3 linked regions of the Yarrowia lipolytica genome follow. The protein of the gene in region 3 interacts with the protein of the main gene of each other region in a pairwise test. Links are inferred from orthologs where the notes say so. Each region holds a gene or a part of one and is shown on either strand. Other genes may lie near its edges.

What was found.
Region 1: the proteins of YALI1_E12402g (region 3) and YALI1_F01034g interact in a two-hybrid assay, tested with the Schizosaccharomyces pombe proteins (3 studies listed by BioGRID). The link is inferred for Yarrowia lipolytica from reciprocal best matches to the Schizosaccharomyces pombe genes prp2 and uap2.
Region 2: the proteins of YALI1_E12402g (region 3) and YALI1_F09345g interact in a two-hybrid assay, tested with the Schizosaccharomyces pombe proteins (7 studies listed by BioGRID). The link is inferred for Yarrowia lipolytica from reciprocal best matches to the Schizosaccharomyces pombe genes prp2 and uaf2.

The regions. Positions count from the first base shown.
Region 1 is NC_090775.1:101,653-105,252, reverse strand, and holds YALI1_F01034g (uncharacterized protein), read right to left. Parts: upstream 1,828-3,600; coding exon 604-1,827; downstream 1-603. Other genes in the region: YALI1_F01020g (uncharacterized protein), read left to right, coding at 3,223-3,600. UniProt on the Schizosaccharomyces pombe protein: Has a role in pre-mRNA splicing.
Region 2 is NC_090775.1:932,809-936,224, reverse strand, and holds YALI1_F09345g (uncharacterized protein), read right to left. Parts: upstream 1,712-3,416; coding exon 1,659-1,711; intron 1,183-1,658; coding exon 624-1,182; downstream 1-623. Other genes in the region: YALI1_F09361g (uncharacterized protein), read right to left, coding at 37-83; YALI1_F09335g (uncharacterized protein), read left to right, coding at 2,064-2,069, 2,710-3,330.
Region 3 is NC_090774.1:1,238,319-1,242,671, reverse strand, and holds YALI1_E12402g (uncharacterized protein), read right to left. Parts: upstream 2,440-4,353; coding exon 634-2,439; downstream 1-633. Other genes in the region: YALI1_E12421g (uncharacterized protein), read right to left, coding at 449-537; YALI1_E12295g (uncharacterized protein), read right to left, coding at 3,451-4,353. UniProt on the Schizosaccharomyces pombe protein: Necessary for the splicing of pre-mRNA. The SF1-U2AF59-U2AF23 complex has a role in the recognition of the branch site (5'-UACUAAC-3'), the pyrimidine tract and the 3'-splice site at the 3'-end of introns.

The sequences.
Region 1 (3,600 bases), on a different chromosome or scaffold from region 3:
TGAACTAGCCAAAAAATGAAATAAAAATGTATTATGTTAGTATAAAAACGGCCTGGAAATATTGGCCTGGAAATATTGGCCTGGAAATATTGGCCTGGCTTTTGAAGTTATTGCCGTTGTAACACTTGTTTTCTATCTATTTCATAAAGCCGATTAGAACCTCCAGTTTAAATCTGCGTCGAAATGGAACACTACTCAATCATTCTCGGAGACATCCAAAACTGCACCAGTAGCTGACAATATGAAGGCTGCTTCAAGTCATATTTGACAGGATACAATGACAAATTCGTGCTTCATAGGTTTACTTTGTTCTTCTCCAGATACTGTAACAATATCTAAACCCTGGGATACAGAATCTTAACAATGATTTTAACAATTTTGTAAATATGGTAACTATTTAAACAAAATATCGACGTTTCAATATTATTATGTTATAACAAATAAAATAAAAAAAATACAAAAAACTAACGTTAAGTAATTGATTCGGCTTCGCGCGTCATACCCTATTGAACTCAACTTGTCCATTTGTCGATCTATATGATTAGTATACACGCACTTATGGCGAGATGGAGACCAAGTGTATCTAACAGAGTACATACTATACTACTCGCCCTCCAGCCACTCTCCAAACCTCTCCAGCCTCTCCTCATCTTCCTCATCACCTCCCCGATCCTTAGTCTTTCTCCACTTGGTCTCGTCATAATCAATGTATGCCTCGAGTTTCTGGCCACCAAAGAAGCGACCGTTCATCTTCTCCACGCACTCCGCGGCATCGGAAGCTCTTTCAAACTTGACGGTCACCACTCCGTCGGGCTCCAGGTCGTATAAAGTCACGTTTGTGACTGTTCCGATAGCTCCACAACCGTTATAAATATCTTCCTTGATGTCCATTTCGGCATCCACGTCATCCTGGAGCTCCTGAATGGTAAATACCCGTTTGAGAGTGACCACCTTGGACGACTTTTCACGAGACTCCGTCTTGACTCGTTTGACCTCCTCCTCATCCCAATCGTTGAGCCTTTGCTGCAATTGAGTGTACTTCCTCTTGGCCTTGGCCTTGGCTTCTTCGGAGTAATTGGGACCGGAATTCGTCTCTTGCTTCTTATTGTCGCTACTGCCCTTTTCCTTGTCGAAAACTGCCGGCTGGACATTCAGAGTGACCATTGTGTCGCCAACGTAAACTGGCTGATTGTGCAGCATATCCACCGCCAATTTCACGCTTTCGGGCTTGAAAAAAACCACCAGACCGTCGCCCTTGCCCTTGCCCTGCTCATCGACATAAACCCGAGCCTTCTTCTTGCCAGTGTAAACATCTTCGGCCAACACTCCGTACTTTTGGAAAATGTCCACCAGCTCATCGTTGGTAGCAGTTGAAGGAAGCCCACTGACATAGATGGCCTTCTGAGGAGGCTTGTCGCCCTTCTGCTGAGCCTTTTTCGCATTCCGTCGCTCCTCAATTACCTCTTTGCGCCTCTTTTTGAGCTGCTCCTGAACCGCCTTCTTGTCCGAAACCGGCTGGTTTTTGCCCGTATCCCTCCCACTCGGTTCCGCCTTCGCAGTCGCAGTTGTGTCCGTCGTCTCCCCAGCAACCAGAGCCGCTTCCAACTCGTCTCCCTTATCCTCCACCTCCTCCTCCTTGTCCTCCTCCTCCTCCTCTATCAACCGCCAGCCTCTAGTCACATGGTCAAACTCGAACATGGTCCCATCTTCCTCCTTCTCATACAGATACGTGCCCTTGATCGTCGAGTATGTCACGTGATCGGGGTCTCCACCGGCGGGCGGTAACGGGGCAATTGCCGCGATTTCCGCCAATTGGTTGTCTGACATGTTGGAGTGAATTAGTATCGTGTAATTGTCGAGCTTGGAATTCCATATTGGTGGGCGATTTTAGGTTTCAGATTAAGAGATATGAATTGATTTGGGAAAAAAATTAAATGAAAAAACAAAAAAAAATCCTTGATTTAATGAATTGATGTATTTGTATTTTTGTATATTTGTATTTTTCTCCATTTTTATTGACCTTTGGTATTTTTTTATTTCTTTATTTCTTTTGTGGTTTTTTTTAAAAATACATTTTTAATTTTTAATTTTTAAATTTTTAATTTTTATAAATTTATTTCATTCAGCCTAAAGCAACAACCAAAAGCCAGACTATTTTGTGCTCATTTCCAGGTGAATTGAACTGATCTGGGAAAACGAAAAGAAATATTAAAACAAAAAATTCATTGAAATGGCGGAAAATCGAACTGGTGAACAATTTTCCACCACCACTCTTAACCTAACCCATACTCACCCACCCACCTTAGTCAGCCGTAGTTTTAAGTTCGCCTGATGAAAGTGCTTTTCTTTCACCTCAAGACCCTCAACCCTAGTCTTTGATCACATCCGTTTTACGGTGAGTATGGCGCGGCACCGCGCTCGGAGATGGGCCACGTGACGTCTCCGGTGTCGGTCTGTGTGTGTTGATTTCGCTCTTTTCTGCCTCTTTGTGTTTGGATCAACAACGATGAAATGTCCCCAATGTGAGGAGGTAGAGAGCGGCAGAGAGTGAGGCACAGACACGGTGGTAGGACGACGAGAGCGGTGAGAGACGCAGGTTATGTTGTTGGCTGGTGGATGGAGCTGTTGGCTGGTTGCTGGAGCTGTTTGCTGCTTCTGTCTGCTGTTGACTGTGTGTGTTCTATCATGATGTTGTTGCTGTGACTATGTGGTGACTTTGATGTGACTAATGCTGACATGAATTCAGTGAATGTTGGCCACCGGATCTGTTGGTGCTGATTTAGGGCTGTCATACGTGTTCATTTGGCCCTTTCGGGTGTTGATTCAGTTCATTACAGACCATCTTGGTCTCCCACCTACCGCCAGTCCCACGAATACACGCATACGCAGTTGTCAGGCTGACTGCAGAGAGAAAAGATACAGCAACTCACAGGTCAAAGAGAAGACACGTCATTAGCGGATAGTGCTCGTCAGGCAACACTCAACGTACAGCATCCAACAGACAGCACTCGACAGATCACCGCAGACATCATCATATCGCTAGTGAGCTGGCGACAGACCCACATCTGTGATCCCAATACTGCATCTCCACTACAGATCTGCTGCTGTCATACACAAAAGCTGGTCTCTTGCACCCAGTCTGACGAGCAATAGTGTCTTTTTCCCGTCTTACGACCTCGCCTGCGATCCGCACTTGCACTTTTCTTCACCTCGCTAACCCAGATGTCCCCCACCGCTGAACAGATTGCATGGCTGTTTGTGTCGCAGTACTTTAAGCGACTGCACTCGGACCCCAGCGAGCTGCACCACTTTTACGACGTCGATGCGAAGCTGCTGCACGGCAAGGAGCAGGACGACACCGCCGCGATCTCTGGCACAGAGAGCATCCAGGAGCGGATTAGCCAGCTGCACACCAAGGGCTGCAAGACGCTCATCTCGTGCCTGGACGCCATGGAGGGCCCCAACAAGTCCATTCTGATCCAGATCATCGGCCAGATGTCGTCCACCGACGATGGCGTGCCTCAGAAGTTTGTGCAGTCCGTTGTTCTCGAAAGCAAGAGCGGCACCAACTACTCCATCTACAGCGACGTGTTCCGGTTC
Region 2 (3,416 bases), on a different chromosome or scaffold from region 3:
ATGACCTTCTGGTCCGTCACGTGTTCCCATACTCACCTGGGGGAAAATGTTGTCAGTGAAAACGAATATCTATCTGCTGCCATGGTGTAGATTGGTGATGGTGGAGACAAGGATGTTGCCACTGTGGTGATGAAGTTAGTTTGGAGTCACGTGCTGCTGGGAGGCGAATCTGTAGGGAAAGAGATATATATATATATATTAGGAGAAGTTTAGGTGATTGGTGGGGGATTTGGGAGAACGGATGGGTTTCTCATGTGGTAGAGTACGCCCGCTGATGGTTTCGATTCATCAAAGAAGTGCCATTTACTTTAGTGGCGGTATTTGAGGCGTTTGTACTGTGACATTACAACAAGTAAATCAATGTTTCTACTTGGAAGTTTAGTTAGATTTATACTTAGGATCACACAGGGCATGTGCAAGTATAGAAACGTTTCAAGTGTGAAAATGGACATATATAATACACATACTTGTACTACGCGACTGGTATTACAATTCAGTACACGCTATACAGCATCTGGTCTACAACTACTTGCATCTCTCCTCCCCAATTCCTTGATCCCAATACTGTTATGCTCATTAAATATATTATATATTAATACATCAGTCAACAATCGACTTCCAATCTACCGCTTGGACTTTCGGTCCCTCTGACGGTTATAAAATTTCCGCTGAGAAGCGTCCAGATCCTTTGCCAGCTGTCGTGGAGGCCGTTTGGCATGCATGAAGTTGCACATGTTGCCTCGCGAACACTCATTGGTGTCATGCTGGCGACAACACGACTCGGTGAAGTCGTTGACGGGACTTAGTTCGCACCAAACGGGCCGTCCGGCATACCACCGTGTGTTGAATAGGTCGCATGCCCTCTGAGCATCCTCCTGGTTCCGGAACCGCAGATATGTGTTTCCCGTGAGATGATCGTTGCCGTTTTCGCACACAATCATCTCCTCCAGGCGTCCCAGTTTGGCTGCCTCCATGTAAATGTCTTCGTAGAAGAGTGCAAAGTGCTTGTCGAGGTCCGCCTTGGTCATCTTCGATCCGTCCTCATTGAGAGGATCTGATTCGCCATTAGCTGGGTTTTGATACAGGTTCGAGCACAGCACTGTGTTGGAATAGGTGGGCTTGACGTGTTTTCGGGAACACTTTTCACCGTGACGGCACGCGCCGATTTTGTAATAAAATGAGCTGGGTTAGTATGTATGTAGTAGGGGGTTTGACGGTCTCGGGTTGAGAGTCGTCACAGGAGAACAGATGGGCTCAAGGAGTCAAGAACAAGCTAGCAACATATCAAAGTACGTCTCGTTTGCTTTTCCCACCTTGGCTTGCTGTGTCTATCCGTATCAACTTCTCTATGCATCACCAGTGCAACAACATGATGTAGTGGTCCTATCCAGCAGCTGACAACTGTCGTCTGTAGTGACATGTCTAGCGATAAGAAGTCATAGATAGACAGACAGTCTGTCTTCCAACACTTGGCTGGACTAACAACTATCACAGACACCAACAGGCCGCAAACATCTGCGTCTCTCACACACCATGTTCTCGACAACCACTCTGGTATGCATCACAAGCCGTCTAAACGAGCAAACGATCGGCCAAAACACCAACACCAGCCCGCGCGGGGGTTCAAAACACTCAAATAACTCCTTTCTGACACTCACCAGTTCACTTTGTCGTTTTCCGTTCCGTATATCGAAGCTAGGTGGCTGGCCATGTTGAACACGCGAATAATGTGTGGCGATAAAAGTTAGATTTGAGAAACCTGGCAGAGAGTATTAAGTAAGTTCCAAGTAATGTGCAGCTGGATGGAGTACGCACATACTGGGAGAGAGGGACTGAAAACGAAGGCGGTGAAGAGCCAGCCAAGGGGAAATATTGTACATGAGTAACTACATGAGTTATATCATCCACTTTTGAGTCTTCCAACGTCAATTTCCTACCCATCCAGCCGGCCCATTACTTGATGCGAACGTCACATGACCATGCATGAAAAATGGCTGCTGGCATGCAAGCATGTCACGAAATCCTCGATCTAAAAAAGACGAACTTTCACAGTTCAGAACGACATGGGAGTGAGTATGCCGGGGAGAAGGGAGGTGGAATGTAAACGTCCATCCTCGCGACTCCTTGACTGTTGCTGTTACAGCGATCAGATAGGATCTGTATCAAGTGGCTAAGGGAAGAGACCTTGTTCAACCTCTCATTGTTACCTTGGGGAACAGATCGCCACTGGAATAAACACTTCATCAACAATCAATGTGTGTCAGAACGAGAGTCTCTACCAAAACTGTTATTGTTTAATTGTCACCAATGCCAGATCAGAGCAGCCAATGGTCAATATGAAGTGTCTTTTGTTTGGACTCATTATCGTACAGTGTTTTGTCTTCTACAATCCGTGATGCCCTCCTAAAGACTACTTCAGGTGGTGGGCCATCTTGCCCATGACCTTGAATACTAAAAGACACCATCTTTGAACTCATATCATGCAACCCTTCGTTACTCGAATACGAAACGTGATATGTCGTTGTGCTATACTGGATATTCTTAACAGTTTGCTTGCCTCCAGAGATCTTGGATTCTGAAGGTCATGGCCTACTTCGATTGCATAACACCGTTTTTGCCAGACTGCACAATCACAGTGACCCGTCGCAGGCTCCTCTTCATCGCTATTTGCCCTAACTCCGCTGTCTTACTGTTCATGCGTTAACACAGAATGACGGAGGGTCCATCCCCACTCGCCGGGATCTGGTTAAAGACAAACAAAACGGCTTAACCACTTCCCAGCTCTTCGATGCCACTCAGGACAATGCCGATTTTGACTGGAAAAACTGCCCCGTGAGCAAAAAGTCGCTCCAACAACCTATCGTCAGCGACTACAAGGGCCGATTGTACAACAAAGATGCGGTTCTCGAGTGGCTACTGGACAAGGACGAGTCGTCTGTGGCTGCCCAAGTCATCCCCCACATCCAGAGTGTCAAAGACATTGTTGAACTGCACTTTGAAACCTCCAAGGACGGAGATTGGATCTGCCCTTTGTCTCAACGGGAAGTCAAGGCTCTCACCTACCGGTTTGTCTACGTGGCAGAGTCAGGCTGGGTGTACTCGGAATCCGCCATCAAGGAGTTCAAAGAATGTCCCCAGACAAGTGTCCCATTTTCGGACAAGAACCTCGTACTTATCAATCCCATCAGAGAAGAGGATAAGCTGGCTGCCAAGGCGAGATTGGATAGGTTGACTGAAGAAGGACTTACACATGGCCTTAGGAAGATCAAGAAGGACAAGAAGGACAAGAAGGACAAGAAGAAGAAGGAATACAAGGTGGTGAAGCCATAACGATGGTTGTAAACATACAGTAGCCATGGACCTATAGATTATTTATACACATCTAATTACGAATAAGAGTTCATTAAGTACATACT
Region 3 (4,353 bases):
GTACGTCTTTTTATTTATTTATCTTTATTTATTGATCTTTATTTTATTTATCTTAATTTATTGATCTTTATTTATTTATTTATTTTCATTTTTATTTTTTAATCGCATTATTTTAAGAGAGAGCTGGGTCAGAGTTAATCCGTCGATCACATTCAGCGGTTTACCTACAGTACAAGTACTTGTCTTATTAAATATAGAGTTTAATGTATTAATGTTATAATAAAAAAAATTAAATAAAAAACACAATAATCTAAGATTTATTTTTATTTTTATTTTTATTTGTTTTTATTTTATTTTTTAATTATTTGTTTGACATTCCACGAGTGTTCAGAACTGCGACAATGTGAAAATCGCGCTCTTCCTACTCATTTTTCTACAAATTGCTTTCTTGCTGCTCATACCCTTATACAAAAATCCAACTATTCAAATGTACAATTAATGTAAAGACCTATAACCCCGAAGGAAACTCGGTATCATTATATCCAATCCAGCCAAAATCCATGATGACAAACACAATAATGATAGATGAACCTTCATATCAGAGTAGAGAGCGTCACAATGTCTAGCTCGTTCGCACTCCACTGCTCCGATTGAGAGTCCTGGAACAAGTGTCTCTCCGTTGCGCTCAACTATCTAAAACACATTCATGTCAAAACACTCCTCCGAGTAATAACTCGCAATGACACTTCTCCTGCTAAACCGCAGGCCCGTCAACTTCTGCATCGCCACTCGACTCGTTTCCACACTGGCAAACTTGACGTAAACCTTTCCCACACCTGGACGAGTCTCAAAGATTAGCCGTCGATACGACGCCTTCATGGCCTCGGGGTCAGGTCGTGGGATCTTGATTTGGACCTCTTCTCCTCCTCCATATTTGAGACACTCGGACTCGACCTGCTCGGTGATTTCTCTGTAGGCCACATCATCCAGCAGCTCGTCCAGAGTCACCAGGTTGAACAGAACAATGACCGACGACTCCGGCCGGCTCTTGACGTCATTCATGACCGTCACAATTCCCTTCAACCCGTTGTTGGACGAACACGACAACTGCGTGGGTCCTTCACATGCTAGCATTACCTTGAGGTTCTTTCCACCAATCACCTGTCCTGACAGCCCTGAAACGGCGTCCTTGACCACCTCGGGGTCCTTGTAGTCCACCAGAGCAATGCCCGCCGACTCCCGAGACGGCAGCTGTCGAATGAGCTGGAATGCAGAAAGCTCACCGAACGATGCTGTCAGCTGTCGCACCTGGTCCTCTTCTACGTTGAACGGAATATCCCACACAATGATTTTCGTGTTGGAGTCCTCCACCACAGAAGCCACCTCCTTCTCCTCGTCCAGCGATCTTCTTGAAACTTCGCTTCTCTCTGGCGTAGGACAAATGTAGTTGGACGGTCGTCGTATACTAATGGGGGGTCCCGAGTAATTGATACCTAGACCAGACAGAGCCAGGGCTAAGGTTGCCATTTCCGCAGAAAAGAACTCCACTAACACCTCGGGGAGACGAGGATGCTTGTAAACTCCGTCCACAATCCGTTCCTTGGATCCCTGCAGCTCCAGACCCTCGATGAAGTCTGTGAAGAAGCTCTTGATGGCCACCGTGTCGATCTGATCGGCAGGAATACCACTCAGAATCAGTCTTCGCGCCACCCGTGAAAACTCAGGTCGAACAGATCCCTTACCGTTGTTGATGGGTCCCGTGTCCACCAGAGGCATCATTGCTGCCGTCTCGTGGTCCGTGGGCTGATCAGGCAGACCTTCCACCAGTCCCCTCAACACATTATAGTTGACTTGGGTGGGACGTCCCGGTAACGGAAACAGACCCGATCGTTTGGCCAGCTCAGAACTGACCCGCTCATATCCTCGAGCCTTGACATCCCAGCCCGTGGGAGCAGACAATGGACGCTCGTCGAGAGGCACCACGCTATCGTCGATCGAAACGTCTCGATCTCGTTCGCGGGTTCGGTCACGTGCCCGTTCTCTGTCTCCTCTGTCTCTATCCCTATCCCTATCCCTATCCCTATCTCTGTCTCTGTCTCTGTCTCTGTCTCTGTCTCTGTCTCTGTCTCGATCACGTGGTCTGTCACGTGTGCGATCGTCGTCCCGTCGGTCCCGTCGGTCTCTACCTCCATCTCTGCTGTATCTGTCCCTTCGATCTCCTCGATCGCCGCGATCTCGATAATCTCGATCTCTGTGTCGTTCTCGCTCCCGCTCACGGTCCACCGAGTCGTCCCGTCGACGCCACCGCTGGTTACGGTACCGGTCCCGCTCGCGGTCTCGCTCACGGTCTCGGTCTCTGAAGTCCCGGTCCCGCTCTCGTTCTCGATCTCGGACATCTCGTTCGGTGTCGCGCGAGTCGTGGGAACGAGGTCGCGGCGGCTGTTGCGTGTCCAGCCCGCGCTGCGTCTGCGCCAAAAACTCCTCCACGCTGTTATTCATGCTGAAACAGACGGTTGGAGGGTGGTGATGTGGTGTGTGTACAGTTCAAACCAGTGAGTGCTGAGTAAGTACGCTGCAGGTGAAGAAGGACAAGCTTCACATCGGGTAGGGTAACCCAGGCAGGTCTGGTGGCAACCATACAACCCAGGGAGTAGACCGAGTAGAAGCAGATGCTTGGGGTATTAGGGCTTGGATGTCTTTTAAGGTCCACTTTTTGTGTCTGTGCTACTTTTTTTCTGCCCATTTTCAGAACTCACGTCCTTTCCTGGAAAAGTCTTCTTTACTTGACATTTTGTTAAGAGCAAAAGCATGCTGGGGGTTCATATTCGGTGTTCTAAAGATGCTAGAGAAATTGTAGATGAATAAAGCGATAGACCGCAAACATATTCTTAGCAAATGTTTCTTTTTGGCACAATTCATCTCCAAAAATGTCTTTAAAACTCCATCATAAAACCCCATCCCTTCAATCATTAGTTAGCGTTACACTTGGAAAATGATTACCTTTGGAACGAAATACTTATCTATTAGTTGGCTCCTCTTCTACACGACTAATCATCTTATCTTGACACATTTTGCATAGAAACAAACGAGATTCAAACGAGATTCAAGTACTCATCCACGCCCTTCATCCTCCTACAACTCCATCCTCCCTACAACTCCACACCATCACCGATCCAAACTTCTGTTTTCCACGCCTGATTTCTGCATCGTCGATGTGTGGAAGTTGGATGGAGTGAGACAGAAGAAACAAACAGAAGGGTCCAGAAGGGTCCAGAAACAGATGATGCACCGCGTGATACACAAGGCTGTCCTGTAGTGATTTATGAATGGTCTAGCCACACACCACTGATCCAAGATCGAGTACGAGTATGTACTGCATGTGTGCCGGAGCACCCCAAATTGAAATAATAAAATAATATAAATAAATAAATTGTCCTCCTTTTTGTCCCCCACACTCAGCCGCTCATATCTTTCTCTTCTTCCTCCTCAAACTCCATTATATCGCCGTCATTACGCTCCAAGAACTGTAAAGTATGCAACTTCAACCTCCTTGACCAAGCCCTGAAGACCCACAATCACCACCTGATGAGTCAGACCGGGGAACCGCTGTCGATGCAGACCAATCCACTCAATGGGAGGAGTGGCTTCGCCCATATCTCGCAGCTGGGGAATCTCAATGTTGGGAGGCTCCAACGCCACATAGACGTACTTTTCATCCAGAGCCACATCCTTGAGCTTCTCCTCCAGCTCGCCATCCTTGAGCACCGACGGGTTGGCCACAAAGTTGAGCTTGTAGGCCTCTCTTCGGCTGGCAAAGGCCTTGGCGTGCGAGTTCCACATTTCTCGGATGAAGGTGACTGAGCCAAAGTTCCAGCCAATGTCCACTTTGCCGGCGAATTCGGACGAGTATGTGAACTTGACCTCAGTAGGGTTGGTGTCGTACTGCCATGTGTGCATGTTGATGTCGACCTTGGGGATCCGCACAATGGTGCCTCCCTTGGCTCTGCGAGTATGAGCCACAAACTCGTCCACAGTGAGTGTCAACAGATCCTCCTCGTTGATCTGGGTCTTGAAAGTACTCAGAGCAATGATAAACTCGTGCATACCCAGCTCCAGGTGCGACTTGACGAGGCCACGCTTCTGGGTGTCACAAACAAACTTGGCATGTGTTCCAGACAGATTGACGTAGAGGACCTGAGTATCGAGAAGAGTGCTGGGGTAGACCTGCAGCGTTCCAGAGTTGATGGAAACGTCCACAGACGTGAGAAGATGAGGCCGGCCAACTTTCTTCTCCTTGGAGGGAGTTTCTTCGTTGGAAGCCCCGACTTCTTCCTCATAGGCTCCCTCAATACCCTGCTTGGTTCGAACCAGAATCTGAACGAGATCCAGAATGTTGGACGGAGCCAAAACAGT